Linked DNA regions of Schizosaccharomyces pombe. The protein of the gene in region 1 interacts with the protein of each later gene in a biochemical or structural test. Each region holds a gene or a part of one and is shown in the gene's direction. Other genes may lie near its edges.

Evidence for each region.
Region 2: of the proteins of mcs6 (region 1) and spb1, one has a biochemical effect on the other in vitro, tested with the Schizosaccharomyces pombe proteins (one study listed by BioGRID).
Region 3: the proteins of mcs6 (region 1) and mcs2 form a complex in vitro, tested with the Schizosaccharomyces pombe proteins (one study listed by BioGRID).

The regions. Positions count from the first base shown.
Region 1 is NC_003423.3:3,241,023-3,248,029, forward strand, and holds mcs6 (transcription factor TFIIH associated cyclin-dependent protein kinase Mcs6), read left to right. Parts: upstream 1-1,978; 5' UTR 1,979-2,406; coding exon 2,407-3,414; 3' UTR 3,415-3,546; downstream 3,547-7,007. Other genes in the region: rps401 (40S ribosomal protein eS4), read left to right, coding at 4,121-4,909; gga22 (adaptin), read left to right, coding at 5,562-5,598, 5,636-5,723, 5,777-5,852, 6,103-6,340, 6,397-7,007. UniProt on the Schizosaccharomyces pombe protein: Protein kinase essential for cell proliferation, where it is required for completion of cytokinesis. Phosphorylates the C-terminal repeat domain (CTD) of RNA polymerase II.
Region 2 is NC_003424.3:913,758-925,658, forward strand, and holds spb1 (rRNA methyltransferase Spb1), read left to right. Parts: upstream 1-8,523; 5' UTR 8,524-8,556; coding exon 8,557-8,626; exon of another isoform or gene 8,627-8,667; coding exon 8,668-8,761; exon of another isoform or gene 8,762-8,813; coding exon 8,814-8,990; exon of another isoform or gene 8,991-9,135; coding exon 9,136-11,203; 3' UTR 11,204-11,376; downstream 11,377-11,901. Other genes in the region: SPOM_SPAC1687.07 (uncharacterized protein), read left to right, coding at 1-274; SPOM_SPAC1687.08 (uncharacterized protein), read left to right, coding at 571-861; irs4 (ENTH/VHS domain protein), read left to right, coding at 1,335-5,474; protein mcp1, read left to right, coding at 6,216-6,959, 7,012-8,253; ubiquinone biosynthesis protein Coq4, read right to left, coding at 11,455-11,689, 11,746-11,901. UniProt on the Schizosaccharomyces pombe protein: Required for proper assembly of pre-ribosomal particles during the biogenesis of the 60S ribosomal subunit.
Region 3 is NC_003423.3:1,887,699-1,898,954, forward strand, and holds mcs2 (transcription factor TFIIH complex cyclin Mcs2), read left to right. Parts: upstream 1-5,281; 5' UTR 5,282-5,457; coding exon 5,458-5,730; exon of another isoform or gene 5,731-5,816; coding exon 5,817-5,890; exon of another isoform or gene 5,891-5,942; coding exon 5,943-6,564; 3' UTR 6,565-6,710; downstream 6,711-11,256. Other genes in the region: GDP/GTP exchange factor Spo14, read right to left, coding at 2,466-2,786, 2,843-3,184, 3,241-3,525, 3,572-3,697, 3,845-3,958; SAGA complex, phosphatidylinositol pseudokinase subunit Tra1, read right to left, coding at 6,735-11,256. UniProt on the Schizosaccharomyces pombe protein: Essential for progression through the cell cycle. Possesses kinase activity that can be detected when myelin basic protein (MBP) is provided as an exogenous substrate.

The DNA.
Region 1 (7,007 bases):
TTAAAAGAGGAAAGACGTCAAAAAGGGATTACCAAGATATTGGAAATAATAATGATAATAATTTATATCCAGGCGAATGTTATTAAATAAAGGTACTGCAAAAGGACTATTAGAAGCGAAAAAAGAGTGCTGGTTATTGAAGCTGAGCCGTGATGGATTTGCAAAGAACACTTATTGTTTGTAAAACCAAGTTTGGTGCAGTGAAAACAGAATATAGTTTTGGGAATAAACTAAACACTTTGTTTGTAAGGCCGGCATTTTGGGGCATGGTTCGTTCTTTTGTAGGAAAATGCCAGGCATTCTCTCAATATGATGGAATTGAGGATATGGTATGTAAATACAGATTTGACATCAATAAATCCTGTTGTTCAGTCATCTTGACTTATATTAAGGGACTGTTTGTGGGGTAGAATGACTGTGTGATTTCGTCAAAGTATAGTTGAAATGTGGAGAAGCTTAATGGAGATGGTTCAATCACTTGAGAGATGCATAAATAAGAGTCTAAGCCGTAATTTAAAATTAGTAAGTAAGAGAAGGAACAAGGTCGGAAATTCGTTTATCTGTGAGCTTATTTCTGTATCAAAGCATAGTAATCAGAAGGTCATCTGAAAAAGGGGAGGGGGGTTATTAAAAAATTTAATCATATTGGAACTAAAAGAATAAAGAGAAGAGACATTGAAGTGAGAGACGAAGTGAATCGTAAAGAGCGATCTCAGTTTCCAGTCATGGATTTGTTTGTTTACAACAACTCCAATTATTTTGTATGCCTCTCATGATACAATAAAAGTGTTTTTAACTGGAATGAGAAAATATTAAAAATAATTATTATATCAATTTTTTTTGTTACACAGTCCACATTCACCGTACAACAAAACAAATCCCCCAACGACTATTGCTTTTTCTCTTTTCATATATACCTGTGTACCCCCATCACCCATCGCCTTTTGCAATGGAGGATGTGGAGCTGTGTGTATTTGGCAATAACGAATACTACCCTTGTAAACGGTATATTCATTAATATAATCCATCGCATCAGTATTTGGATTTGTAGTTTCGTAATACCGTCATTAACTAGCTAGTTACTATGTGCTCCCTAGTCTATAATAACAATTCTTGACATCGTAAGCATTTTGATTAATTGATTGTCTTGTAGCTAGTTTCCTTCACATTTTGACATAGAGAGCGCGAAGGGCTCCGTTAAATGAGTTCCCAACAAAATGAATCAAAGGCAGTGCGAGTTTTCGTGGGGTTTATTGGAATCTGTCAATTAAAAATAAAATAAAATAATAGAATAACAACAGGAAGGAAAAAAGCTAGCATGTCATTTGTTAAGTGTGAGATTGGTAGTAAATTGGAGAACTGCTTATAAACAGTCTTTCCGGTTCGCTAGTAATGGTGTCCAAAGGGAGTGTAAATTAAAAGGGTGGATAAGTCTCATCTCAGCATGGAACCTAAATAAATTATTGTTTAGCAGGCAGAATTGTTATGAGGGAAGAAGTGGAGGGAAAACAATTTTCAAATGGCATCGCGATATAATTAGAGTAAATTGTGGCACAACGAATAGAGTGTGATGCGATTCACCAACCGTGGTGTTAACCATTAAAGCCCCTGTTTTTCAAGAAAACTACCTCTTTTACTTCAACATGTACTGCCTGTGTGCCTTTGTATCTGTCATATCTACTCAACGACTATTAGTATTACTCAGAGCTATTTACTTCTTCCTTTTTTCTCCAACGTAGATTGAATTTCAATAAAATCGAATTACGAAAGTGAACGTGCTGCAAGAGTTTACTCTACACCTCGTTATGTAACAAGCATTCAAGATAAGCCACAGAGCCCCTTACACTGACTCCACACACGATGCTGGTCGATAAACCCCAGACTAATCGAATCTTAAAATTTACCACAAAAGTGACATGCTACCCATCCCTTAGTAGTCACTGTAATTATTGCTACACCAATAATGAACCAAATTTGTGGGTCCTTTCGACCATTCCTGCTTTGTTGAGTCCAAGTCGATGAATTAGCGTTTTACAAGATTACGAAAGCCATGCGGTAACGTTTGCTAAACCGAGAATCCTGAATACATATATTGGTGAATTTCTTCCATCTTAATTTAAAACGTGGGTGTTTGCTTACAAACGTTGGGAGTAGTATAAAGATCAAAAGATTGCGTTGCGAAGTAGTGTGTTAAGTACCTACTTCATTTATATACACATCGAGAAAGCTCTTGTAAAAAGGTTTTCCCTATAAGAAAAAGTCTTGCTGGAATTGTTTGTGTGTTTTTGTTGTATATAGCTTCACTACCATACCATCATACTGCTATACAAACCTGTCCTCAATTTACTTACCACTGTATTCTAAAGTACTCTGTAATTAATAGTATAGGGGTTAAGGTTTCTCGTTATGGATATCGAAAAGTCTGACAAGTGGACGTATGTGAAGGAGCGCAAAGTTGGTGAAGGAACGTATGCCGTCGTGTTCCTGGGTCGCCAAAAAGAAACTAATCGGCGTGTGGCTATTAAAAAGATTAAAGTGGGCCAGTTCAAAGATGGTATCGATATAAGTGCTTTACGAGAGATCAAATTTCTTCGGGAGTCAAGGCACGACAATGTCATCGAGTTAGTTGATGTATTCTCCACAAAGTCCAACCTCAACATCATCTTGGAATTCCTGGACAGTGATTTGGAAATGCTGATCAAAGACAAATTCATCGTTTTTCAACCTGCCCACATCAAATCGTGGATGGTCATGTTGTTACGCGGTTTGCATCACATTCATTCTCGCTTCATCCTTCATCGAGATTTGAAGCCTAATAACCTTTTAATTTCGAGTGACGGTGTCCTAAAATTGGCTGATTTTGGCCTTTCTCGTGATTTTGGCACCCCAAGCCACATGAGTCATCAGGTCATTACACGATGGTACAGGCCTCCAGAGCTATTTATGGGTTGTCGAAGCTATGGCACCGGTGTTGATATGTGGAGTGTAGGCTGCATTTTTGCAGAGTTGATGCTTAGGACCCCGTATTTGCCAGGCGAATCTGATCTGGATCAGCTTAACGTAATTTTCCGCGCTCTTGGAACTCCTGAACCAGAGGTCATTAAAAGCATGCAACAGCTTCCCAACTACGTTGAGATGAAACACATTCCTCCTCCTAACGGTGGTATGGAGGCTCTTTTTTCGGCAGCTGGCCATGAAGAAATTGATTTACTCAAGATGATGTTGGATTACAATCCATATCGTCGTCCCACTGCTCAACAAGCCCTTGAGCATCATTATTTTTCTGCCCTTCCTAAACCCACACATCCTTCTCTTCTCCCACGCAAAGGGGGTGAGGAAGGAATCAAGCACGTCTCTAGTGACCTGCAGCGACAAAACAACTTTCCAATGCGTGCAAATATTAAATTTGTTTAATGATTGATCGTGTGCTAGTATGCACCTTTAACTATATACCATTCTTTTCTCATTCATGTTTCCCTACAGAAAAATTGGAATGATGTGACTGTATGCGGATTTTTCTGTTTAGATAATTGTCATTCTATTTTTTAGACGTTTACTCTACTCGCTGATAATTTCGATATCAACGTTATACGAAAATATCTTCTACTTAGCTTCATTTCCTTGCGGTACTCTTTGAGGTATTATCGCCCATTGCTTAAGAGTTAATGGAAATTGATTGCTTTTTCTAACCATATTTCAGAATTATGGACACTCTTATTTTCATCTGATAATACAATACTCATTCCAACGTTTAATGATTTATGTAAACATGCAATCCATGTTTTTAACATATTTGGTAGTAAAGCTAGAATTATGATGTATTTATAAGATCGTTAAATCTCTTATATATAAGTTTTATACAATATGAATTAATCAATAGACTAGCGAAAGCCTTCTTGTAAATCGTACTCCAGCTTTTCTGGAAAACTGGTACGTCCAAAAACTCATTAAATTATTAACGTGGTACGTTACGGTTTCTAATTTAATTATTAAACGAGCGAGTACTTTGACAGTTAAATAGGCTACTGTGGTGCACTCGGCATCGATATTCTATACAAAGCAGTCACATCTTTTGACACTTGGCCAAAATTTTGGATATTGAATACTGCATCCACCAAAAATGGTTCGAGGTCCTAAAAAGCATTTGAAGCGTGTTGCTGCCCCTCACCACTGGCTTTTGGACAAGCTCTCCGGAACTTACGCTCCAAAGCCTTCTCCAGGTCCTCATAAGGCCCGTGAGTGCCTTCCTTTGATTGTTTTCTTGCGTAACCGTCTTAAATATGCTTTGAACGGACGTGAGGTTAAGGCTATCCTTATGCAACGTCTCATTAAGGTAGATGGAAAGGTTCGTACCGACTCTACTTTCCCTACCGGCTTTATGGATGTGATCTCCGTTGAAAAGACTGGTGAGCACTTCCGCCTTGTCTATGACATTAAGGGCCGTTTCACTGTCCACCGTATTACTGCTGAAGAGGCTAAATACAAGCTTTGCAAGGTCAAGCGTGTTCAATTAGGTGCTAAGGGTGTTCCTTTTCTCGTCACCCATGATGGACGTACTATTCGTTATCCCGATCCATTGATCAAGGTCAACGACACCATAAAACTTAACTTGGAAACCAACAAGATCGAGTCGTTCATTAAATTTGATACTTCCGCTCAAGTTATGGTTACCGGTGGTCGTAACATGGGACGTGTTGGTACCATTGTCCATCGTGAGCACCATCTTGGTTCCTTTGAAATCATTCATGTTAAGGATGCTTTGGACCGTGAGTTTGCTACTCGTCTTTCCAACGTTTTTGTCATTGGCGAGACTGGCAAGAGTTGGATTTCTTTGCCCAAGGGTAAGGGTGTCAAGCTCAGCATTACCGAAGAGCGTGACCGCAGACGTGCTCTCAAGGGACTTGCCTAAATATTATTTTTTCAAAAAGCAAATGCACATTTTGTTATAATATGATGGATGCGTTTTCGTAATTTTGTGTTGATTTTAAGACATGTAACTTTAAACTCATTTTAGATATGTCGCGTGCATAAGTAATAGTAGCATTAATAATTCTTGTAAATCGTTGTGTTGTGTGACCTGTCTTTTTAAAAATTCAATGATGATCTTCGATAATACTTTCGAATTCACCAGTTGGAGAGGTTTGTTAGCTAAAGAATGTGAATAATTTCTTAGTTGGATATGCGTGTTGGTAAAATACTCTAGTTTTCTTATTTGTTACTAAATTTCAAGTCAAACGTAATACAACAAAACAATTTCCTACGAGCGAAAGCGAGGTTAAATTTTTTTCTAGTAGAATTATATTTTTGAAAAAACTAACTGAGAAGAGTCACATTGTTGGCAGGTAAACATCAACAACCAAAAAGGCTACGTGAATAGTGAGCGCTTGGCCGCAAGTTTTATGGTTACTTAAACTCGTATCCTTATTTAGAATAATGACGAAATTGGACGTCTACCATAATACAGAGAGATACGCAATTTTCATAGACTTTAAGCATTGAAGCTGTAGTTGAATATCTTTGATTAAGCCGCTCTGCTGTAACAATTTGGAATTATTGACTTAATGTCTAGCGCTAAAAGAAGACTATACAGTTTAATTCGTAAGAAATTACATTACTTTATAGTTGCTAACTGCAGAAAATGCGACCGAGCCGTACGCTTTTGAACCAGATCTAGCGGTTAATTTGGATATCGCTGATTTGATTAATCAAACTGGCGGAAATTTGTAGGAAATTCACTTATAATATTGATTATACTAACGTGTTTATTATTTTATAGGCCTCGAGAAGCTGCCTTTGCCATTGTTCGTAAGGTCAATGATCGCAATCCAACAGTTGCCTATCTGGCTTTAAATGTATGTTCTGTTTTAATTTTTCACAACTTTGTTTTTCACTTAGAAGTTACTTCGCATTATTTGATATGGTACTGCTTTTATAACTTGTTTATTTTCTGAACGAAACAATCTTAAGTGCTGAACCTTCAGAATTCCAATCTGGTTATTGTGATTTGTATAAAATAGATTTTTGTTAAATTTATTATAAATTTTGCTGAGCCCTTTTTTTTTCACGTTTTTTTCAAATGCCTTTTGTGCTAACATTTTCTAGCTTCTTGATATTTGCGTCAAAAATTGTGGATATGCCTTTCGTTTACAAATTGCTTCTAAAGAATTCTTAAACGAATTAGTAAGAAGATTTCCAGAGCGCCCACCTTCTCGCTTGAACAAAATCCAAGTCATGATTCTTTCTTTAATTGAGGAATGGCGGAAAACCATTTGTCGTGTTGATCGTTATAAAGAAGACCTCGGTTTTATTAGGGATATGCACCGACTTTTATCTTACAAAGGTTTGTATTCAGTTAACTTGAAATCTCGATTATAATTTCCGAGTTAACCACTTTAGGCTATACATTTCCTGAAATCGATAAAGAGAATCTTGCTGTTTTAAGTCAAAAATCTGTTCTAAAAACAGCAGAAGAACTTGAAAAGGAAGACAGAGAAGCTATGTCTGCTAAACTACAGGAACTAATTCGTCGCGGTACTCCGGCAGATTTGGCTGAAGCCAACAAACTTATGAAAGTTATGGCTGGTTACGACACTGAGCAAAAGCAAAAATATAAGGAACATGTTCTCGTAGATTTAGAAAAAGTCAAAAGAAAAGCAGCTCTGTTTGGTGAAATGTTGAATGAAGTTTCTGAATCCGATAAACTAGCCAGTGGTGATTTGTACGATGAGCTGGCCTATTCCTTGAAGGCTGCTCAGCGTAAGGTTGATAAGATATTAGAAGAAATGAGTCCGGAAGATGACTCTTACGTGACTGTTAGCGATTTGAAATCGTTAATCGCATCTTTACTGACCCAATATGACCACTTACTGGAAGGCGATTTTTCATCAGCTCGTACCGTTGCTGCCGATAACAATTCGCTTCTTCAAGCTACTACTGAATCGGCAAAGAGTAATTCCAAAACCTCGGCTAATGCATCTAATACTCAAAGTGCCATGGATTTACTTATC
Region 2 (11,901 bases), on another chromosome or scaffold:
AAGTATCAGATATTCACCTGTTGAAAATTCTTTTGAAGCAGATTTCAACAATGGGCTTAACTCCAGTTCATTTGATATCGCCCAAAATATTCTAGCTCAGGACACTCGGGCCGGCCTGGACGAAGCCGCTACTTCACAAATTCGTGGATTGATGAAACAGCTTCAGTGCTCATTTGATCAGGCAAGACTCATCTATATCCGTAAAGTCATGAGTGACAACAACGTTGACTCTACCGGCATGCCACTTGACAATAAAGCTGTTACAAAACTTTAAATGTCATTAAGCAACAACTGAAATCAGAAAATTACGCAAAGTCCTAAAAAATCTTAGTTAGTGTCTCCGAAAATATCTCAAAATCTTCATCGGCGGCCGGAATTTATTTTTTATTTATTTTTCCAGAATGGTATGTTAACTCATGGATACGAAAACATGTGGATACCGATTTATTTCGTTAGTTATGGAAACGAAATATAACATTGTCATAAGCTTTCTCAAACTTTTTACGATTCATGGACTTCCAAATCTTCAATTACTGCTAACGCTATCAATAATTCTTAAGAATTAATGAAATGTTTATCTTCAATGTTCTGACGATCCGCTGTACTTTCCATGTTCTATTTGCTATATGTTACTTTTGTGATCATTTGCTGCAATATATCAGCAATTCTCGAGATAGTAAGGCTGGTCTAAAAATTTTTTTAGTATTCGAACTAGCTGTTACTATTTTCAATACGGTAATGCTTCAATTAGCTAACCGTGTAAAAAACGGGCTCACCCTTGCAATATTGATTGTCTCTGTTGTAATGTTTGTGTATCATCAACAGCTAATAGTTAATTGCAAAAAGATGCTAGCCTTATAATTATTTGCTTTTCAAATTCCTTGAAGAGTAAAATTTTGAAGAAATATTTTGTTTTATCATGTTTGATAATGATCAAAGTGAAATTTCGTTTATTGTTTAGTTTATTATTGATACTTTAAGAGTCAGTAAGCTTATTAAAAGAGAGGTAACATTGTTTTTGAAACTGCGTAAGCAATATACGGGGCAGCAAGGAAGAGTGACAAAACTGGTGAAAAGTTTTAAGGTAATTGTTTAGCGCAGTACTCAGAGTCATTTAGCAATGCGTCATCTGGTATGTAACCCGCAAGGAAAAATCACATGTATGCTACTTCCATCAGTGCAGTCGTTTTGTAACCTTCTTTCTACAATTCATAACACACAACCTCTTTCTTTTTTTTGAACAATCTGTGAGGGTCTTATCGATTTAGACAGCATTTCGCCTCCTTCATTCATTATTTATTATATTCCCTGATGTAGAACAAGAAGGCCTTGCGATGGACGCGATTCATCCCGTATCTTTACGAAATAGTAAAAGACATCCATTACTGCATTCTGAAAGAAACCTCAGCCGCCGTGCAGTTTCTCCAAGCATAAGCAGATCATTTTTTCAGCATTCTAATGGATCCTTTCCCCTATTTCAGAACCACAGAAAGAGCTTACCTTCCGCTATATATAAATCCGTAGATCCATATGTTGATGCCAACCCACTAGATCCCTTAGCTGCTGCCAAAGCGAGTTTTGCGGATTTTCCTGAACAAGATGATTCTCAAAGTTCCACTAGTCCTTTATCCTCGAAGTATCACACCAAAAAGAATAAGCAAATTTTTGTCGAGGATTCAAGAAGAGGCGGGGCGGCTTCGAACGCGGCTGCCATTGCGGCTAAAAAGAGTGGTTATTATGAACGTACATCAACTAGAAAACGGTCGTTGACCGTTCCAACACCTCGTACATCTTTTCCGCATCATCCTCGAAGTCGACGATTTTCATTAAAGAATGCCGCAATTGCCACTTCTTACCACAAATTCAAACCTCTTTCATCCAATTCACTTTCTTCTTCCGGTATGCATTTTTCCGCTAGTAAACAGGCCTTCAACTCTCCTTTACTACAGACTTTCAGTCCTTCCCCTTCTGTATCTCCATTTTCGAATCCAGCCGTAGAGAAATTGAAAACCAGTGCGAGCAAGCAAGCGGCTGAAGCACAATCTTTAAGAGAGTTTGATTTTTTCACTCCTACTCCTGAACCCTCAGATAAGAATTTGGAAAAGCTGAAAAATGGTGCCAGTAAACAAGCTAGCGAATCCCAATCTCTCAAAAACATGGAATCACTTTCATTAGCAAGATCTTCACCAATCCTTACTTCAGAAAAGTTAAAAAATGGAGCTAGTAAGCAGGCTATTGAATCTCCACCTTTCAGAGCTTCGGAACCACTACCTTCATCAAATATTATACCGAATCCTGCTATGGAAAGGTTAAAAAATGGAGCTAGCAAACTAGCTATTGAGTCCCAACCATTTAAATCAGCGGAACCGTTATCTTCAGCAATTCCACTTCCCAATCCTATGTCCGAAAAGATGAGAAATGGCGCCAGCAAACAGGCTATTATGGCCCAAAGCTCAAAAATCAATCCCTTACCGCCACTAACAGCTTCAATTTCAGACCCGTCTTTTGAGAAATTAAAGAACACTGCTAGTAAACAGGCCATTGAATCTCAATCTCTAATGAATAGTGGCCCTGAACTTTTAGAGCCGTCGATTTCAGACCCAATGTTAGAGAAAATGAAGACTGATGCTGGTAAACAGACTGTTGAATCTCTGTCGTTGAAGAGTTCTGACGCTACAATTCCAAAACCATCAGTATCAGATCTTGGGGTAGAAAAACTTAAAAATGATGCTAGTAAATGTGCTGTCGAGTCTCAGTCCTTAATGATTAATGATCCCTCTGTTTCTTCAACCTCATTTTATAACCCAAATATGGAAAAACTGAAAAACGGTGCCATCAAGCAAGCTATTGAGCACCAAGCTTTAAATGCTGCCATTTTGAATAAGACACAATTACCTTATTTTCATCAATCATCTTCCGAACTACCAATATCTGCTAGCAAACGGGCTGCATTGTCTCAACAAACAGAGTCGGCCTCAAAGTCATCTAGTAATATCTCTGAAATGTGTGATTCACATCCTCCTTCTAACTTTTCAATCTCTGCTAGCCAGCAAGCTAGCAAGGACCGTTTTTCGGAGGCTACTTCTTCTATCGATTTGGATCTGAGTCCTGGTAGAAGTCTCTCTTTGGCTTCTAGTAAGCTTTCTGTGAAAGAAGCTGGTGCTCGCGTTTATAATAGAAGCGTTGCTACTCCAGTAATGACGCCGTCCAACCCATTCGAAATTTCCAAATCAGCAAGTCAGTTAGCGAGTATAGCTCAAGTACCTGTTTCCGAACCCGCAAAGACTTCAGAAGTGAACCTTAAAAAAAGCCTTTCCTTAGCTTCTAGTAAACTTTCTTTTCAGGAAGCTGGTACCTCCCTTAAAGAGAAGACTGCAAATGTTCAACATTCCCCGGAAGTTTTGAATGACCGCTCTTTGGCGTCACTTTCTGCTAGTCGGCATGCTGATGCCATATCTTCGAAAAGCAAACAACATACTGAAATCGCGCAGCCAGCATTTAATACGACTGGAACTGTGCTAATGAAGACAAAATCAAACCTTTCAGATTCTGCGTTAAGCACACCACAACATTCTGATTCGGTGCTTTTCGATATTACTTCTAAGGCTGCAAGGCTCGCTTCTACTTGTGCTAAGACAGATCTACACAGGAAACCAAGGAGAAAACATAAATCATTTACCCTTGAGAATTATTTTGGGCATAATGCTGAAGACGAAAGCCCTCAATCTGACGAGGTTGAAAGTCAAACGCCCCCTTCAGGATATTCTGAAAACGATATCGGCGGAACGGACATATACCCTTTTGCTTTACAAGGAGCTGCTTTGGCTGCCGCGAAAGACTTTTCAAGACGTGAAGCCTCCTTAAGTGATAGCCAATCCGCTGCTTCTATGGATATGTTGCCTATGAAGAAGAAATTGTCCCATTCATCTGCATCTTCTACCCGTTCTATTAAATCGTTATTAACTAATGCTAACCAAAAGCATATTCATTCCTCTATAAATGAAACTGATGATATTCCTACAATGGCCGCTCATATTGTTGCAACTGGTCAGAAAAATAAAGAAAAAGCACCTTCTTTTTCTAATGATCAGGCCCTTGATCACTTGCTTGGGTCTGCTCATAAACGAATTCCTTCTAATAAAACGGAATGGTCGTCGTCATCATTGCACATTCCTTCGCATAATTCTTTTTCTGACATCCATCATAGGAAAATAGCTGCTCATGCTGCAGCCATTACGGCTGCTTCCGAAAAACTTACACCCTCCATAGAAGAAACGTCGTATTCTTCGTCCAAGGCCCATGATGCGTCTTTGAGTGCTGCCACTCTAGTTGCAAATAAGGATAAACTCATTCACGCACCTACCCCTCAAGTCCTGGCTCCTGTGCTGCCAAAAGTTTCACTTCCTCATCGTCATTCAGTTTCACTTGGTCAAATTCGAGGAGAATCTGAAGTTGAAGGAGATGTTTTTTATGATGCTCCTTCAGATAAAGAAGACCTTGGATCTTCAAACGCTCCTTTAGATGTACCACATGGTGCTAATCGTAGCAGCATGGATGAAGTTAACGGTTCAAAATACGATTACAGTGATGGAATACTTGATGGCTCAGGTCAGTATACTGATAGTGATATGTCCGATGACGAGAACTCTCTCAAAGATTCGCAAAGTTCGGTTTTAAGCTTTTCAGCTGTTCCCACAAAAGTATTGAAATTTAAGTTGCGTGATGTATTGGGTTCTGAGTATTCTCCATCTCCACAACTGCTTGCCTCTTCAAGTGATGTTTCAGGCTCATCGTCAGCAGTACGCGCAGCTATGAAAGCAGACAAAATCTTTCCAGCTGTTCATGAAAACCCACCTCCTTTAAAAACGAAGCAATCAATTGCCAAACCTTCACCTCATACATTGCGAGTTCCTCAGAAAAAGCATAAACATTTTTACCATCGTGATGACGGAAAATACAAGAGTGGAACCAATTTGCGTAAATCCGAAACTGTTGATCTCCCGCAGTTCTTTATTGATGAAAATCGTAGAAAGCTCTATGAAGGGTTGTGGGCTGCTAATAAAGGTTATTTACTGAGCAAATCAGAATATTCCAAACCGAATGATTTGATTTGCAATATTGTTGTCCGCGAACTCTGGTCTCGTAGTGGTGCTCCAACGAGTGTTTTAGCCAAAATTTACGATCTCGTTGATAGACATCACACAGGTGTCTTGGGGCGTGATGAATTTATTGTCGGTATGTTTCTGATCGATCAATATTTGAAAGGCCGCAAGTTACCGTTGAAGGTACCAGACTCTGTATGGCTAAGCAGCAAGCGTATGGGGGATATGCTTTGGCGATTAGAAAAACTGCAGAAAAAGACAGATAATAAAAAACCTTTCTTCAAAAAAAAGAAGAAAAAGAGAAAACATTTGAAAAAGTTTTTCGACTTTAATACAACAGCAAAGGTGAACGAGGGCGCGATGACTGACTAGAGAAATCAACATCGGGTCCTCTTTTTTTTAACGGGAAATATCTTTAAGCTTATCAACATTTATTAAAAAATGGCATTTCGGTATTACTTCATTAAGGTCTTTTCATTTGAAACACTCCGTTGTGAACCTGTTTTCGTAAAGCTTTCGCTATTTTTGCGAACCACGTTTTCAATCAGTTGTTAGTTTGCTTTTGTTAATCGTTAATGATAGTACTTTCTGATCTATTTAAGCTGTCGATTGTTTTACTCAATTTGCAGATATTTCACAACCGAAGCGACCTTTTTAAGCGAAAAGAAGGACTTTATTTTTACATCATAACTTTTCATTTTGCAAAACTTTTATTATTCATTTTTACATTTTTTTATGCATTACCCTTTTTATTACTTGATTAATTACTGAAGCATAGGTTAGATTTACGCTTAACGAATTCCTTGGATACCATTTGCTTGTTTGTTATAAAATTTTTCAAGTATTATTTATATCCTTTAATTAGCATTTTTTAACTATAATAAGCCAACACAAAGGTTTAGCAATTAAAACTAGCCAAAATACTGTTCGATGTAGATTTTTTTTTTAAAAAGACATGACTTCTTTATTAAACAATCTTGCTAGTATGAACTTGTCCCAATCCATAATGTGTTGTGACTCACTTTCGATCCTTAAGTTTAGAGGTAAATAAACCAAGTTCTCCAAGGCCATGATGCCGAACTTCTGTTTTTAATGTTAAAATCATAAGATATTATGGAGTTAGCTAAAATTGGAGACAGGCTTAACAATTATTACAATAATATTTATACACTTTCCGAAAAACTTGGGTATTCGTTTACAAAGATCAGTTTTAACAATATCATCTTGGACGCTTTGTCAGGACACCAAAGAAAATTGGAGATCAAAATTATAAATATTGAGTCAAAATGCAATGAATTATCTTCTGAGATATCTCTTTTAAGAAAAAGACTGGGCATCATCGAAGAAATCGAAATACCGCGCACTCTAATTGACCAATATGAATGCCTGGTAACTTACCATAATGGTATTCGAGCAATCTATAACACGAAGAAAAATGAAGCAAAAAATATGTACAAAGAAATTGAAAGGTTATCTGTAATCCTTGGTGAATCAGTTGATGAGGTGAATTTTGTGAACGGTGATTTTGAGGACATATCGGATATAAAGCTTGAGCAGTTGTCAGCAAAATTAAATGAACTTCATCAGATATACAGACTTAGGAAAGAAAAAAACATTGAAATTAAAGAGGAATTAAAAAAACTGCAGGATTCTTTGTCTATAAAACTTAGCATGCCCGCTGATGATTTGTCCAAAAACGGAATAAAGCATTTGATAATTTACAAGGAGAAGCTCAGATTTTCTTTAGAAAGCAGGAAGTCCCGGGTCGATGAAATTGTCAACGAAATGAAAAATATGTGTGGTAAAAACCCGACTTCTGAGTTACCGACCAACTATAGTGATAAAACCTTGACTTTGGTAAGAATTTGATATTTTTATTAAAATAATTATTTTCAAACTAACAATATAGTGGGAAAATGAACTTTCGTCCATGCGAAAAGTGTACTTTGTTAAGTATAAAACTGAATACGAGTTTTTACAAAAAAGGTACCTTTCACTGGCTCGCATAATGTTCGTTTCTAAAAAAGAAATGTTGTTTACATCTCAATTTAAAGAAATACCTAACGTTAATCGAGAATTAATTCAAAGTATGAAACAAGAAATTGGGAACCTAGAAGTTGATCTCCATCTTCAAGGGGAATTGAACAACATGATTAGGCGGTATCTTCTCTTAGAGTCTAGGGTTTATAAAGAATCTCAAAGAATGAAGGTATTGTCTGGATCAGCTTCGCAGCCTTTCACTTTAAAGCGCTTGCAAAAGGATTTTCAATTACTGAAAGCTAAATTAATATGCGCATTAAGGGAGTGGGAGGAGGATAACGAAAAGAAAATTTATGTCTTTGGAAAACCATTGTCTTCAAGATTATTAATGATACATTCTCCACCAATTTTGCAGAATCAAGAGAATATTTCCTCTAATGACAATAGCAAATCTTCACCAGAGTCATCGCCACCTGCGCGGAAAACCACAGGTAAGATCGAAAATAAAAAGTTAAGAAACATTGATGTCCAAAGCAAAAAAAGCATTCGTTTTCCTCTTAGGCTAGCCTCTCATGAAGAGCCGTTAATTGATAGAATGGTTAACCAAAGTCCTGATACTCGAAGTGTTTCGAAAAGTAAGAGATTAGTAAGGGAAACATCTAGTGGTTGCTTATTCAAGAATCATTCTAAAAGTAATACACTTTCCCCTAGGAGGAAAGGCTCTCGGCATGGTCCCAGAGAGCCGTGTTTGTCTCCCGATGCTTCATCTTCGTCGATTCCGGTCACTGATATAAAGGAGATACTTCCTTCGCAGCACGACACACCTCATAACTCTGTCAAGCTTACTGGAAGTTCGACGACTCCTGCTTCTGTGTCGCTTCGTCAAATGATAGAGCCATTGTTATCACGTACTCCTCCCAAAGGTGAATTTACTAATTCACTTGATGATACACCGACTCAGTCTAATGTGGAAAAGGTTGACAGGTTTTTGGAAAACCATGATTGGGAAACGTGTAGTGAATCTTCCTCTGCAAGTGAAGATCAAAGTTTATGTAAACAACTATCTTCTTTTTCACTTTCCAGTAGTGATATCTCAAAGAAGTTAAAAAACAATTTAAATGGGCTACACTTTTCGTCTGATGAAGGTTCTAAACTACCTACTTTTCTATAATTTGTCTCTCGTTACTCTACAATATTTTTTAATATACTTACTATTAATGTATGAATATAATGAAATAATTCGTAATTTTTTTAACTGAGCATTAAAATATTGTAGTATTAACATATTCAAAAGCAATTTTCTCCAATCTTATTTCATACTGTTTAATATTTTTTTATCTTATTCAAAAATAAACAAGATTTTTAATTTTAAGTGCTTTGACAGTATCTTTTCTTTAGTCTATGTTGTAGTGTACTGTACGCTATTTGCCAGTTGCCTTTTGCCTTTCACCAATTTTTGCACCGATAAAACCACATGGGTAAATCACAAAAAAAGACGGCCAAAGGCCGTTTGGATAAATGGTATAAGCTTGCCAAAGAACAAGGTATTTATTAATAGCTACAATGAACACTTTTTAACGTTTAGGGTATCGTTCTCGTGCTGCTTTTAAATTAGTGCAATTGAATCAGAAATATAGTTTCCTTGAAAAAGCTAAAGTCATCATTGATCTTTGTGCTGCGTAAGTTGTATAGTTATTATTCAAAATCCTTTTACACTGACCGTCAAAACAGTCCAGGTGGTTGGTTACAGGTTGCTTCTAAAACATGCAAACCTGGCTCATTAATCGTTGGTGTTGATCTTGCTCCTATTAAACCCATTCCTAATTGCCATACGTTTGTTGAGGATATTACAAGTGATAAATGCAGATCGCAATTGCGTGGATATTTGAAAACTTGGAAAGCTGATGTGTAAGTAATTGATATGCTGCAGGAAGCGGTTAAACGGGTGCAACTATTCTTGTTTCACTTGCAATCTTAGAAATTTGATTGAACTGATTAGAATATTTGTTGCCCATATTGGTTTTTGTCGAATTTTTATTAATGCATTGAGCAGTGTTCTTCATGATGGTGCACCAAATGTTGGTTCTGCATGGTTGCAGGACGCCTATGGACAAGCTCAGTTGGTGCTAATGTCAATGAAATTAGCATGTGAATTTTTGGTTGCTGGTGGTACATTTGTTACAAAAGTTTTTCGTTCAAGGGATTATAATAATCTTTTATGGGTATTCAAACAACTTTTTAATAAAGTTGAGGCTACTAAACCTCCATCTTCTCGTAACGTCTCTGCAGAAATTTTTGTCGTATGTCGTGGGTACAAAGCACCAAAAAAGTTAGATCCTCGCTTTACAGATCCTCGTACCGTTTTCGAAGAAGTCCAAGAGCCAGTTACAAACGTTGATGCAAAAGTGTTCCATCCTGAAAAAAGAAAACGTAGTCGTGAGGGTTACGCTGACGATGATTACACATTACACAAAACTGTCTTGGCATCGGAATTTGTTACCGCAAATGATCCCATTCAAATCCTTGGTACATCCGCTGAAATTGTATTCCCAAAAGATGATGAGGAATGTCAACGCTTATACAATTTAGACGTCACTACTGAAGAAATTCTTTTGTGTTGCTCAGATTTACAAGTATTAGGTAAAAAAGAATTCCGCGATATTTTGAGATGGCGACTGAAAATAAGAGATGAGATGGGTATAGGTAAAAAGGTAGAGGATGAGCAAAAAACAGTGGTTGAGGAGATTCCTGAAATGGATGAAGAAGAGAGACTGGATCAAGAATTACAAGATTTGAGTGAAGCCGAACGTGTTAAACTCAAACGTGAGCGTCGGAAAGCGAATCAGCGTAAACAGCGTGAAATTGTTCGTATGCAAATGGGAATGTTGGCCCCAATGGATATTGGCTTGGAACATGAAGCCATGGGCGAAGACAGTTTGTTTGGTCTAGCAACCGCTGAAAAGCATGGTTTAAAAGAATTGGAAAATGGAACGCTTCCCGTAACTGAATCTGTTGACGAAGAAGTTTCTACGGACAATGAAGTCGAATACGATAGTGACGATGAGCGCGATCGCTTAGAGGCTGACTTGGATTCAATGTATTCTGATTATACTAAACGCAAGGCTGAATCTGATGTGAAATATCGCGTTAAAAAAGCGCGTGGCGATCTTGATGATGAAGAATGGAACGGTATAGATAATGGCACCGAAAGCGATGATTCTCAGATTGCTGAGACGAACTTTGCTACTCCTGATAAAGACAGACTGACAACGTCTTTGTTAGACAAAGGTTCGACTAAGGATGGGCTTAGTAGAAAAGCACGTATGTTTTTTGACCAGGACATTTTTGATGGTATTGAAGATGCCGATGCTGATGTGGAAATCATGTCTATGAACCGCGCTGCTATAAAGAAACGTGAAGCTGAACTTGCTTCTCAAAATAATGACGATGGAAGCAAGGGAGACCAAAGTGAGGACAGCAATGATCATATTGAAGTCGTTCCAGTTGCTTCAGCTCATGATGAAGATGATGATTGGAATTCTGATTCTGATAATGATGAAAACAACGTTGAAATTGTTACTGCCGAGGCAATGACACTAGCTCAGGATATTGCTTCTAGGAGAAAGTCTAAGGCTGATTTGATTGATGAAGGTTATAATCGATGGTCGTTTCAATCTAAAGAAGGTCTTCCAGATTGGTTTTTGGATGAAGAAACAACCGTCAATAAACCCAACAAGCCAATCACCAAAGAAGCCGTTTTGGCTTTGCGGGAAAAAATGAAGGCTCTTAATGCTCGTCCTATCAAAAAAGTTCTTGAGGCACAAGGTCGTAAAAAGATGCGTACTATTAAGCGTCTGCAACGTGTCGCTAAAAAAGCTGAAGGAATTTCAGAAAGCGGTGATATGACTGAAAGTGAAAAAGCTAAAGAAATATCGCGACTCGTAAGCCGTGCTACTAAATCGAAGCCTAAAGCAAAGCCTACGTTAGTTGTTGCAAAGGGTCCTAATAAAGGCCTTAAATCTCGTCCTAAGGGTGTTAAAGGAAAGTATAAAATGGTTGACAGTCGAATGAAAAAGGATTTGCGCGCACAAAAAAGACTAGCTAAAAAGGGTCGTCGTTAAAATACTTGACTGTTTAATTTCATTAACAGTTTTTCGTGGAATTTAGGCTTAAAATAATTATATCTAGGTTAGAGTTTGGGTTTTAGTGGATTAATAGTATTCTTATTTAGTATTAGATTTGGGAGTAACAGCATGGATATGTTTTGCAAGAGTTAAACTGCTACATATATAAACATTATTAATTAACTATTTATATGCAGTTCTTTTCGAATATTTCGATTGAGTAAATGGAAGAAATTTGAATTACAGGTCTAAACCAGCGGAGGAGCAGCCTCAATTCGTATTCGTCTACGGACGTCCTCAATGTCGTTCGTCAGTTCCTTTTCCCAATAGACATTGATCAATGTTTTTGCATTCAAACCATTACGAATCGACCATGGAATGTATACCCGACGAAACCTTGAAGCCTGTTCACAATTTAAGCGTAGAGGACCAAATAAAGCAGAGAGAGCTCCAACTGGTAAACCCATGTTAACAAATTCCAGCCTAAATTGTTAGTATACAAACCATGAAGTTAGAAATAAAGTAAAGTATATCTATACCATTTAATAGCTAATTCTCCTTCAATGTTTGTAGGCATGTTACATATAGCATGGTAAAAATCGTGAGATTCACGATATCTTTGCATAACATATGCCTCCTCTGGGTCATCTACAAAACGGGTAGGGCTTCGAGTATCGGGTCCAACATGCTCTTTG
Region 3 (11,256 bases), 1.4 Mb from region 1:
CAAGTGGAAAAGAGCATTTTGCAGCGACCTGTTTACTTTTTATGATGAACCGGAGGATTGCTCACATCAGTGAGAAATGGCGCAATTTTCGTTACCTAGTCCCGGACAATGTTTCTCAAAGACGACTTGTCCGTGATGTCATATAAGCGATACAAAAAGATGTCATGTATCTTGTACCCACCAATCCCAACTTTACTTTAAATAAACTTCAATTTTAGGTAGCAAACAAGGTCCAATTAGGAGGCGAAGACCGGGGGAGTGGAGTGGTACACATGTAACGGCGTTGATTACATAAAAGTAACAGAAAGAAGCACGGCGAAGACGGCCGGGAAAAGCGTGGCAGATGACCATGACATATAATGGTATAACGACGAATTGTGGATTTCAATGATTATAGTGGGAGACACACTTTGCGACAAAGGCGGACGGACGTTATAGAGAAGAAGAAGAGAATTGTGAGAGAAATGCAAGGAAAAGAAAAAATTGTTGGCGTTTGACATTTATCAATTTTTGGAATTGTCATGGAATTCATTTGGATTTAATAATTTTTTTTTTGTTCTTCTTTATCTTTTTTTTCTTAACTTCCTCCTACTGGTTCGTCTTTCTTTCTCTCTCCTCCTCATCCCTGGGTATTGTTTACTGCCATTACATGCTTCGTTGTGCGCAGATTTTATTACACTTTCAACGAGTAATTGAATAGGAAACAAATAAGAACTTCATTTTTTTATAGGTATACAAAGAAATGTGGATGGAATTAGAAGAAAAATGCTTTGCTTAGTAAACACTCCTCATAGCATCTCTCCAATACCTTCTTTCAGCATTACCAAAATTTCTCCTTCTTTTCATTCTTAAAACCCGGTAAATACATTTAAGAAAGTCGCTATATCTCAATCATCCCGAGTCAGGTGCTGCAAAGTCCTAGACGTTTGTGTGTCTAGAAAGCTCATAGTCCAAAGATGCACTTGCATGTCCAAAGGTACACATAAACACCTGTTCATTCACATTATGTCTCTTGAAAACCTCCCTCCCCCTTTTTAGTTACTGTAATCTTCTTCGCTCCGACACTCTTGCAGTACAAGTGAAATTGTTTATCACAAAAAAAAAACGTTCGCACGCCCCCTATGATTTTTCTTGCTCTCTATTGCAATACAAATCCTGAAAGAGTCAAACGATTTTAATTATTGAAGTGTGCTATTATACCAATTTTTAAGTGCGATGCCTCACGTCCTTTGTCCTTTCGACCTTTTTTTCGCTTCTCATTACCTTAAAAATAACCCCACGTTGCACCAACACTCGGTTCGGCTTTAAAAACTGCGGCTACCTGATATCATGCTCCAACCAAAATTCTCCCTCCAAAATTAAGCATCGCGTAATTCTCGTTTGACCTTATAAGCCTCGCCTCTTCTATTGTAATTTCTGAACCGAAGAATGCCCCACACCTTGTAGTGCGCTACCGTTATCGTCGGTATGAATGATAAGACAAGTTATGTGGCTACCTTCGTAACTGCCGTAGTGTGTCATCAACGGTACTCGAAAAGTCATTAAATATGTGAAACGATTGATTAGAAGCAGTCGAAGAGCTCTTTCATTCATAGTTATGAAATTCTTTTTTCTTTCGTTGCCCTTGGCGTAATGTTGTCTTCTCCTTTAGGGTTTTCAATTTTATCGTACTACGCACTGGCTCACTGTTTTCAAACTAGTTGAGTGTACTGAGTTATAGAAATCTATACTCGAAAGAAGAGATTGCAATCGATGAGGATTTTCTTTTTCCTGAAAGATAGAGGATTGTGCTTTGATTACTTTTAATTTCTACTTACTAGCCGTTCTCTTTTGATCTGAGGTGATGTTCTCAAAGTCTTGAGAGCACACAAAGGCAAACGTTGCAAATTTCGCTTTTTCTCGAATATCGTGAATCGTTTCGCTCAATCTGTTCAATCAATTACAAAAAATATTTTTGAATAGGTATATTTTTGATTTCGCCTAAGCCTTTACTTTTTGGTTCTTGTTTGATCTCCCAGATATCTGATAACCATAATGGCTTAACGAATTTCATATGCTAATCACTGACCGTTATGAATACAATTTCCTTGGTTTTAAAAGACTTCAAAATCCTCACTACTGTCACTGCCGCTGGCCCTAAAACATGTTTATGACTTAAAAGACACATACATTTTGTATTCTAAGGTCGTCCAACGCAAAATTTCATAAATGCCCTACAGACTTTATAATGTTGCATAGTCATTGTACAGATCGAAATTGGCATACTCATGATTAGTTATGTAGAATTTCTTTATTTCCTCATATCGTCATTGATGACTGTGGTAAATGAAACCACCCAAAACATAAATCTTCTATCCAAACAAAAGAACTCTAAAAGTCTGCAAAGTTGCAGGAAACAATAAGCTAGTTACGTGCCAGCCAAATCTTTATAGGAAACCATAAAACGTGAGCTGGTTTTACTTTTTTTAAAGGTCATAGTTTCTAATCGTGTATTTCGAAAAAATGTGAAGAATAAAGGAAAAGAATCGATGAATTGCGTCTAACTTCTCATCTGGGAAAAGAAGTTGTAAGTAAAAGTACAGGATCGCCAAAACAAAAGGGAACATAAGAGACAATCGAAGTATGACTCCGGCATCCTCAAGTTTGACAGCGCTCAAATTTTTGAATTTTCCTACAAACTGAAGACAAAGCAAGCCATCAGCAGAAACACTAACTAGTGCTTCAGAATCAGGGGATAACTGCATATCAGTTACTGGAAGGCTATGCTTATAAACTTGAGACAATTTCTAGCATGCATATTAGAAGGCAAAATCGCAATAAAAATATTTAAGTAAACACATACCGTTAAGTCTAAAGACATGAAACGAATGCTGCAATCTGCTCCAGCAACTATGATCATTCCATTCTCCTTATCACAGCAAAAGCAGGTGACGCCCTTTGCATTTTTTAAATCTCGGATCATGCCAAATCTCCAAAGTTGATTCTTTGAACTGTAATCAAATCGAACCAATGAAGCAAACCTTTTGGAATCTTTAATATAGTTATAAGCAGCTACTATGGATTGGTTGGGTAAAAACGAAACACCTCGTACTGTGGCTCGCTCTACCGGCATGTAAAGTACTTGCACCAATTCAAAAGTGTTCCAATCATAAATTTCGACGCGATCATCAACTGCAATTGCAAGCTACAAAAGAATGGTAAGGATTTAATAAATAAAATTTAGTAAAGGCTGTGGCTTACCTTGTCTTCAGTAGATGAAACGTCATACACATCTGAACCATGTTTTTCAAACAAAACTTTGTGATCATTTTTGGAGATGATAAAAAAACTTTTATTAGTGCAAGATATACAAATTGCATCGTGTAATGGCTCAAATAAACATAACCTTTGATATTGTTCATCATTGTCAAAATCGGTTAACCTGAGAGCGTTCTTTTCCTCAAATAGTTTATCCTTTCTTCCATATAAACGTAAATGGTCAATTAACTTTCCGTCAATGGTGTTATTAATACCGGCTATTAATTCCTACAATTTAATTTCGTTAGCTATGCAATAAAAAAATATTGCATACATTTTTAAAATAACCCAACGACATAACGGCATCATCCGAATGCTTAAGTTCGATTTCTCCATGTTCTATAAATTTTGTATGACCTTCACCAACTTCAGGTTCATAGTCTTCATATGATAATAACTTCTAAATTCGACAAACTAATTAGCGCCTATAGTCCAATTGTAAAACATAATCTTTTTAGCTAACAATCCGGATACTAAAAAGTTTATAATGCTGTAAAATAGATAGATAATGAAGTAATCCTTCACTTACAGTCACGAATTGACATACCAATTTGTTTTTAACACCAGATTTTGTAGTTCCTCCTCCACCACCAACCGCCATTTGATGGTTATTAATCCAACAAAGAGAATAAGCTGGAAAAGAAAGGTGGAGTTCAGCCATTTTGATCTAATAATTAGAAAACACTTTAAGCTGGATACGAGGAATAGGAATGTATTGAAAAAATAAATCGATATCGGCGACGAATCAAAAAAAAATTCTACTTATTAGTGAGCAAATCAATAAAGTACACTTACAAGAATTCCACTAAAAAAAAACAATGTCTATTTGAATACGGTGGTGTGGGTATGTTTCGAAATCGCTGTGAACCTACTTCGAGACTTAAGCAAATACTGTAAGAATATTAGATCCCCGTATCAGAATCTATCGAATAATATCGACATCACTATCCTCTTTTACGTATTTAGGCGATGTTTAATATATACATAAGTTTTTATCCATTTTTTTATGACAGTAGAGAAAAGATTTAATTAGAGATAACCTAAATCCTTATTGACTTAAAAAAGGATGATACTTACTTGTGGATATTTATTTGCGAAGAATCTTTGAACAAACAGAAACTTATAATAGATTCTTTCTAAATCTCGGAGCATATTCTGGCTCATTTTATATTTATATTTTCCTTTTCAGCTTTTTAGAACTCAATTCCGACCTCAGTTTGGTTGCAACTTTGCTACAGACACTATTTAATATCTCGGTCTCCTGTACATTTTACCAGGTTTACGTTGTATTGTTTATATAGTTTATATAGCAATATTTACTACATGTTCATCATATTACGAAAATAGATTAAGAGAACTGGGGAAAGAGTGAGGAGATGAGAAATTTTCGGATTTATTTATAATTTCCAATTATTATTTTTAAGACGAAATTGCCGCGAGACTACATTGTCCATGAAATTAATGTTTGTGTTTATTCTACTAAAGGGTATGAATGCTCGATCTCGTGCCAAGGTGCCTACAATCTTAATACGCCGCTGCCTGTGTATGATTATAATATTACTTCTGTTTTTTGCACAGAAAGCGTGTTTCATTTCAAAGATTGACTTCCAATTAAATTTAATTAATAATATGTTGTTTCATTTCCTTATTTAACTACCAATTCTTGTTCATTTGCAATTCACTCAAATATGTAACTGAACGTTGTCAGGTAATTTTTTGGCTTTAAATGATATGCCTCAATGGAATATAAAAAAGCATAATCCTATATAACTATTGTTTTTTTCAGCTTCGTTTCAGTGAAATGTTATGCTGATACAAATTGATTGAAACATGAATGCAAGACTTTTTTCAACTCAACAATATTTTATTTATTAGTAAATTTTAGTTTATGTAATAAACTCTTCATTAAATTAATATAACTTTATAGTGCTGCTTTCTTTTTGCACATCGCACATTAATTGCAAAAACTCTCTTCTCCACATCCAGGGTATCTGATGTCCTCGACAAAGTCTCAGCGAACGAGCGATTTGGGTTTTTCATAGCAGAGAAGTATCCAAATTTCAAAAATATTATTATTTTACTGGCTTTATAGAGAAGTATTTAAATTTTTGCATAACCCTCAATTGATAGAGTGCTGTAAATTCTACTTACATTATTCACATGTCTGCCGATAAATTTCGTGATTCCACGCATTACAGAGATTGGATTTTTACGGAAGAAGACCTTTCAAAAACACGTGCTAAAGTAAATGAAAAATTTACGAATATTGTACGTGAGCGAATGCTGGAAGAGTTGTCTTTACAAAACAAGGAAGCATCCTTAGAAGTTTTGCCTCCAACTCTTACCGTTGAAGAAGAACTTGAACTTGTAAATTATTATAGTTTCCAGTTGAACGCACTTTCTTCCGCTCTTTCCTTACCAACTCATATTCGCGTATGTTTAGACATGGTCGGATTTCCTTCAATTACTTGGAAACTGTACTCAATATAAACATTCCGACTTTACTCACAAAATTTTAGTCCACGGCCATTCTTTTTTTTAAACGCTTTTATCTAATTAACTCTGTCATGGAGTATAGTCCAAAAATTATTTCGTATGTTTAAGTCGCCGAGTCCATTAAGCTAACATTGTTTTTCTTACATTAGGTTTACTTCTTTATTTTTAGCTACCAAGTGCAACGATCATTATATCTCTATTGAACAATTCTGTAAAAACATGCCCAAGACGACTCCCGAAGAAGTTCTTGAATACGAATTTAACGTTTGTCAATCATTAAAATGGGACCTTTACGTCTGGCTTCCATTTCGTCCTTTACAAGGCTTCCTTTTAGATTGTCAAACAGTGCTTCCGAAAGTTGCTGTCGAAAAGTTTTACGAATGTCATGACCTTTCCAAAAAATTCCTAATTGAGACATTGCATTCTGACATCTATTTCTTACATTCACCCAGCATAATTGCTTTGGGTGCTATTTATCATACGAATCCAACTATTTGTTTACAATATATAGAAGCAAAAAAAATTCCAGAACTGCAACCTTTGATAATTTCGATTTCTGCCAATTTGAAAGCTACAAAAAAATTTAAGATTGAGAAAAAAAAGGCACAAGATTACGGCAGAAAGCTATATTTCTGCATGAATCCTCTGCGAAACAAGTCTAGTGCTTTGTACCTTAAACGAAAAGCGGAAGAAGAATCAACTAATAACAACAAATGGGCTAAAAAGTTCTCAACCAGCAGTAATGTGTTGGATAAAAATCCGTTTGAATGATTCTTTCTTTGAAAAGTGCTAAATTTACTTCAATAGTCATTATTCGTCAATTTTTTTTACGACAAAATAGTTTACGTTTATAAAAAATTCCCAGTAAAATTCACTATCAAGTGTGTCTCATTAATTATTTTTAATGTCTATTTGTAAAATTAAAAACATTTTCATTTCTCTCACAGCCAAGGAGCCCATAAGACGTCCATCTGTGCCAAAACTTTGGAACTAGAGGCTTGCGCCAAATAATCAATAGCTGTTTGATTGACTGGTAAGTTACCATAAGCAACCTGACTTAATGATGCAACCCTTCGCATTATAAGATCAGTATTGCTATTGACTTTGTTGAGCATACTGAAATCTGCCGGCACGCCTTTAGTTTGCTGTGCAAGCCACCAAAAAAGATCATCTCTAATAAAGATACCCAAGTACATATCCAAATCGAAATCCGGTTTGGAGAGCGCGCGAGCTATAGCCATTATTGAAGGGCCCAGTAAACCTTCAGTACAAGTTTTTCCAATAAATTCTTTAATGTTGGGGGTAAAGCGAAAAGGAACAATTTCTCCATTATGGTAAACTGGAGTAGAAGAAACCATAGATGGCAGCGCTTCTGTTGTCCAAACACCGCCAGAGTCTCTAGAAAAAACAAGCTTAGCAGGTATCCTATTATTTATACTTAGTATGTATGTAATAAATGAAAAACAAGCATATTGGTATGAAAAATTTTTTCTGAACAACCACAGATCGGAATAATTAGTAAAGATACTTGAGAAATAATCTTTTAAAATCGTTGACGGAGAATAAAGCTTTTGAATATTTTCAAACATTCCGATTCTCCTACTAAACAATTGTTTACGATTAGCTAATTTTTCAGCATCAGTAGATTCCTGACTAATTTGGGAGTTTAATTCCATCATATGTTTTGATAACTCGTTTGTAAACAACTCTTTCGGATCATCTCTGGAGAAGTTATTTCTTTCTGAATAAATTTCGTATATTTTTTGGAGAGTAATAGAAGACGGTTGGTCTTCTAACAGCCGGATGTGCGATGACAACGGAATCACTGCAGGAATGTAAAATTTCAAACAACGTCTTCGAGTCTCACAATTTAAAGCAAGTGCATCATTTAAGTATCTGGTCAGCTGCATAAAACGCTCTTCCCTACGGCTGTTTCGTGCTGAAGGATACTGAATGACAAATGGGTGTATAGTTCCGCCATTGCTTCGAATGGATAACCTTCTATAGCAAACGCCATGTCCTACTATCAATTCCACTTCAGGAAGAAACCTTTCTATGCAAGAAAAACTATTGTTGTTATCCTTGTGCAAAAGATATTGTCCAGGAACTTCTATTTCATCAAATTTTTGATGATGAAATTCACACAAGAATGAGCTGTATTGTTCCAAATATTGTTTTTTAGGAACCTTAGATAATAACCGCTCAAAATATGATCTCCATTTCCTTAGTTTGAAAATATATGATTTCAAACCGTTTGAATTGACAATGAAATCTTCCTTAAATAGTTGTTTACAATAGTCAGGGAGAATATTATCAGCAAACAAACTTAAGTTCGATTCGGTTGAAGAAGGAAGTTTCATTTCATCCGTTACGATCCCCAAACGAATGCTATGCTGTACAGCATCATTAAGCAAGGCTACCACTAGCCTGAAAGCATCTCCATCATTCTTACATTTAAACTTCGCTTGAATTTGATCAACTAAAGTTTCCATAGTCAAAGCCAATAGAGGATAAGCAGTTTTTAAAATTGACATAATTTCATCAATATATTCCCAAACTTTTTTAGAAAGTCCATCTTCTTTATTTGTTGCTGGAGCATTCGTGCTTTGATTGGTAGAAAGAAAGTTAGATTGTATGCTTAAAATATCCTCATTTCTTTTATTTTCATCAGTCGTATTTGATTTCCATGCTGCCATCTCAGTGCGTTTTACCTGTGCAATATCTTCACGAGCAGTTCTTAAAGTGAAAAATAGTGCCTGTGGATAGGATTTAGCAATTTTTTTAAGAACAACAGGTGCGCATTTAGTATCCCCTTTAGAAAGTGAATTTAAAAGCTGGGGAATAAAGGTAAGCCAATGCCAAACTGGTATATCACCTTTGTATGATTCAAAAGCTTTAACTATAGTACCGGCGCTGTCATTCAAACTTAATAACCACAATACCCTTGCCAGCATCTTACGAGCTTTAGAACTTTGGTAAGTACCAGCAGCTTGAAGATAGCAACTAATGGCATTGCATGCTGCACTCAAATTATCTGGTGACTTATTGAAAAGCAAATCGTTGTAACGACCCCATTCTGCCCATGCCTTTGGCAACCCTAAATCAATTTGTACTGCTGCAGCATACATTTGGTTAGCCTCCTCACCTCGATTTAGTTTTTCTAAAAATTTTCCTTTTAATGTCACGAATTCTGACTTTTGTCTAGAATTGAAGTACATCAGATTGGTATTTGTAACAACCTCCAAACCTGTTTTCAGATCTCTTGGGTTTTGTAGATAACATAAAACTTGCTCTCGAAGCTTATAAAAAGCTTCTTGAATTTCAATATTTGGAAGAGTATATATCTTCGTTAATTGGTTCAGACATACGGAAGGTAGTTTATGTTTTCTGGCAACATGAGCGAATCGGTTAATTAGCCAAGCGGTTTCATGATATCCTCTAAATAAGAAAGAGGTATTCGGAGGATTAGACGAATCAGCACTACTATTAGCCTGTATCGTAGGGACCAAGGGGAGATAAACACGATTTATCATAGAGAATACTATTTGTCTCCAAGAAATGAGATCACGCCAAAGATTAATATCGTCCCAGACATTAGGTAACCGCTCTTGCCAAACTTGAAGAGCACTTTTAATCAACTGAACATTAGTAGGCAAATTCTGAAAATTGATAGCATTCAGATGTGAATAAATTGTAGCAGCTTCTTGTAGTTCAACAAATTGCTGAAACAGATGCAAAAGTGAATAATGAGATTGATTAACTTTTTCTGGAAGTTGATGCCACTTAATTAACGCAAGTTGAATGGCTTCAGACAATACTTGTTGGAACTCTTTAATGGCAAGAGGTTGAGATACTGACTTTTGAAGTGTCATAAAGCATTGAAAGGTAAGTTTCCGTGGAGTAGGAACATCAGAAAGGCTCTTAATGGCAACCTCTAAGGATTCACGATTATTAGACCAATCGCTAATTCTCCAAGCACACTCGAGCAATAGTTCAGAAGATCCCTCGTGCTTCGCCAACTCTGTCAAGACGTCCCATTGTTGTAATTTTTGAGCGCACATTACCCACTGATCCTCCCACAAGTTGTATTCTGATTCTGAGAAGGGAATGGCTTCACTGCGAGCCTTGGTCTGTGCCTGTTCATAAAGTTGTTGAGCCCTTCCCCACATTCCAAGTTGCTCATACGAGAGAGCAACTTGAGTTTGCAAGTACTTACAGTTTCGTCGCCAATGGCCATAAAACATATCATCTTCATTTAAAGATGCATATAACTCTGCGACTGCATCCGCACGGCTTTCTTGAACTTTTGCATTCTGATACATGTCATATTTATCACTCAGCTGAATTTCGAGAAGTGAAACGGATTCATGATATACACCGTACAATTTTCCAAGATATTTTACCAAATGAGGTGGAAGCTCTAATTTTGCAGCACACTTAACGAAAGATGAAACCAAAGTAGAGATCACATTCGGTCGATTGTTTACCTGTTTGATGTGATAATCACGAGTGAGTAAATAGATTAAAGACTTTGAAAGGTCAGAACGGTTATCCGAACTTAGTATTTTCCATGCAAGAGGAAAAATATATTGCCAAAGCTTATTAGCATCTGCATCGCTGAGCATTTGAATGTGTGCCAACGGAAAAATAATTTTTTGCACAGTTAATTCCTTATTTCTTTTTAGGAACAAATCCAGTTGTTTGAAAAAGGTAAATCTGCCAAGAGGAATAGCTGAACCGTTGTGTTTTGAAAAAACTTCAGGAAGTGAGCTTAATATGGGTTTTGTCATTGGCACTGGAGCAAATCGAAGACTATTGTCGGTAAGCCGGACAGGCTGTTTCGCATTTATAGCCCCAAGAAGAATATAATTCGCTTGTTTGATCCAGTAAATGCTAGGAATTGTATCCCAGCTAGTTGCATCCAGTATGAAAGTCAATCTAGAATAAACATTACGAGACATGCTGGAATCAAAAATATCCATAAAATCCATTCGTATTTTGGTATCTTTAGATGCCGTAGCAAGAAGGAAGGCTTGCTTCAATCGGGCAGTTAATTCTGTATGCGCAAAAATGGGATCCCTGTATATCGTGGATAGCAAATCACATGCTTCGATGTATAGTTTGTTGTCAAATCTTCCCTCAAAAGTTCTCATCTTCAATAAAAGTGCAGTTTTTTCTTTGACTGTCAAAAACGAATCTCTTTTCACAATCACCCATTCCTTTGTAACATTAAGAATATGTTCACAAAGCTCAAAACTTGAACTCTTTTCGAGCAATTGCACCACAACACTTAAAAACCATCTACGTTGATCTCCTAAGCTTGCCATGCGTACTCTAATAATTTCAATGAAACTAATCAAAAGCTTTGAGACAGTATCAGATGCAGAAGGAAGTGTAACTTTTCCAGATGCTTGTATAGCAGATTGCATGCAAGCGACAATATGGTCTCGTGCTACCTTTTGA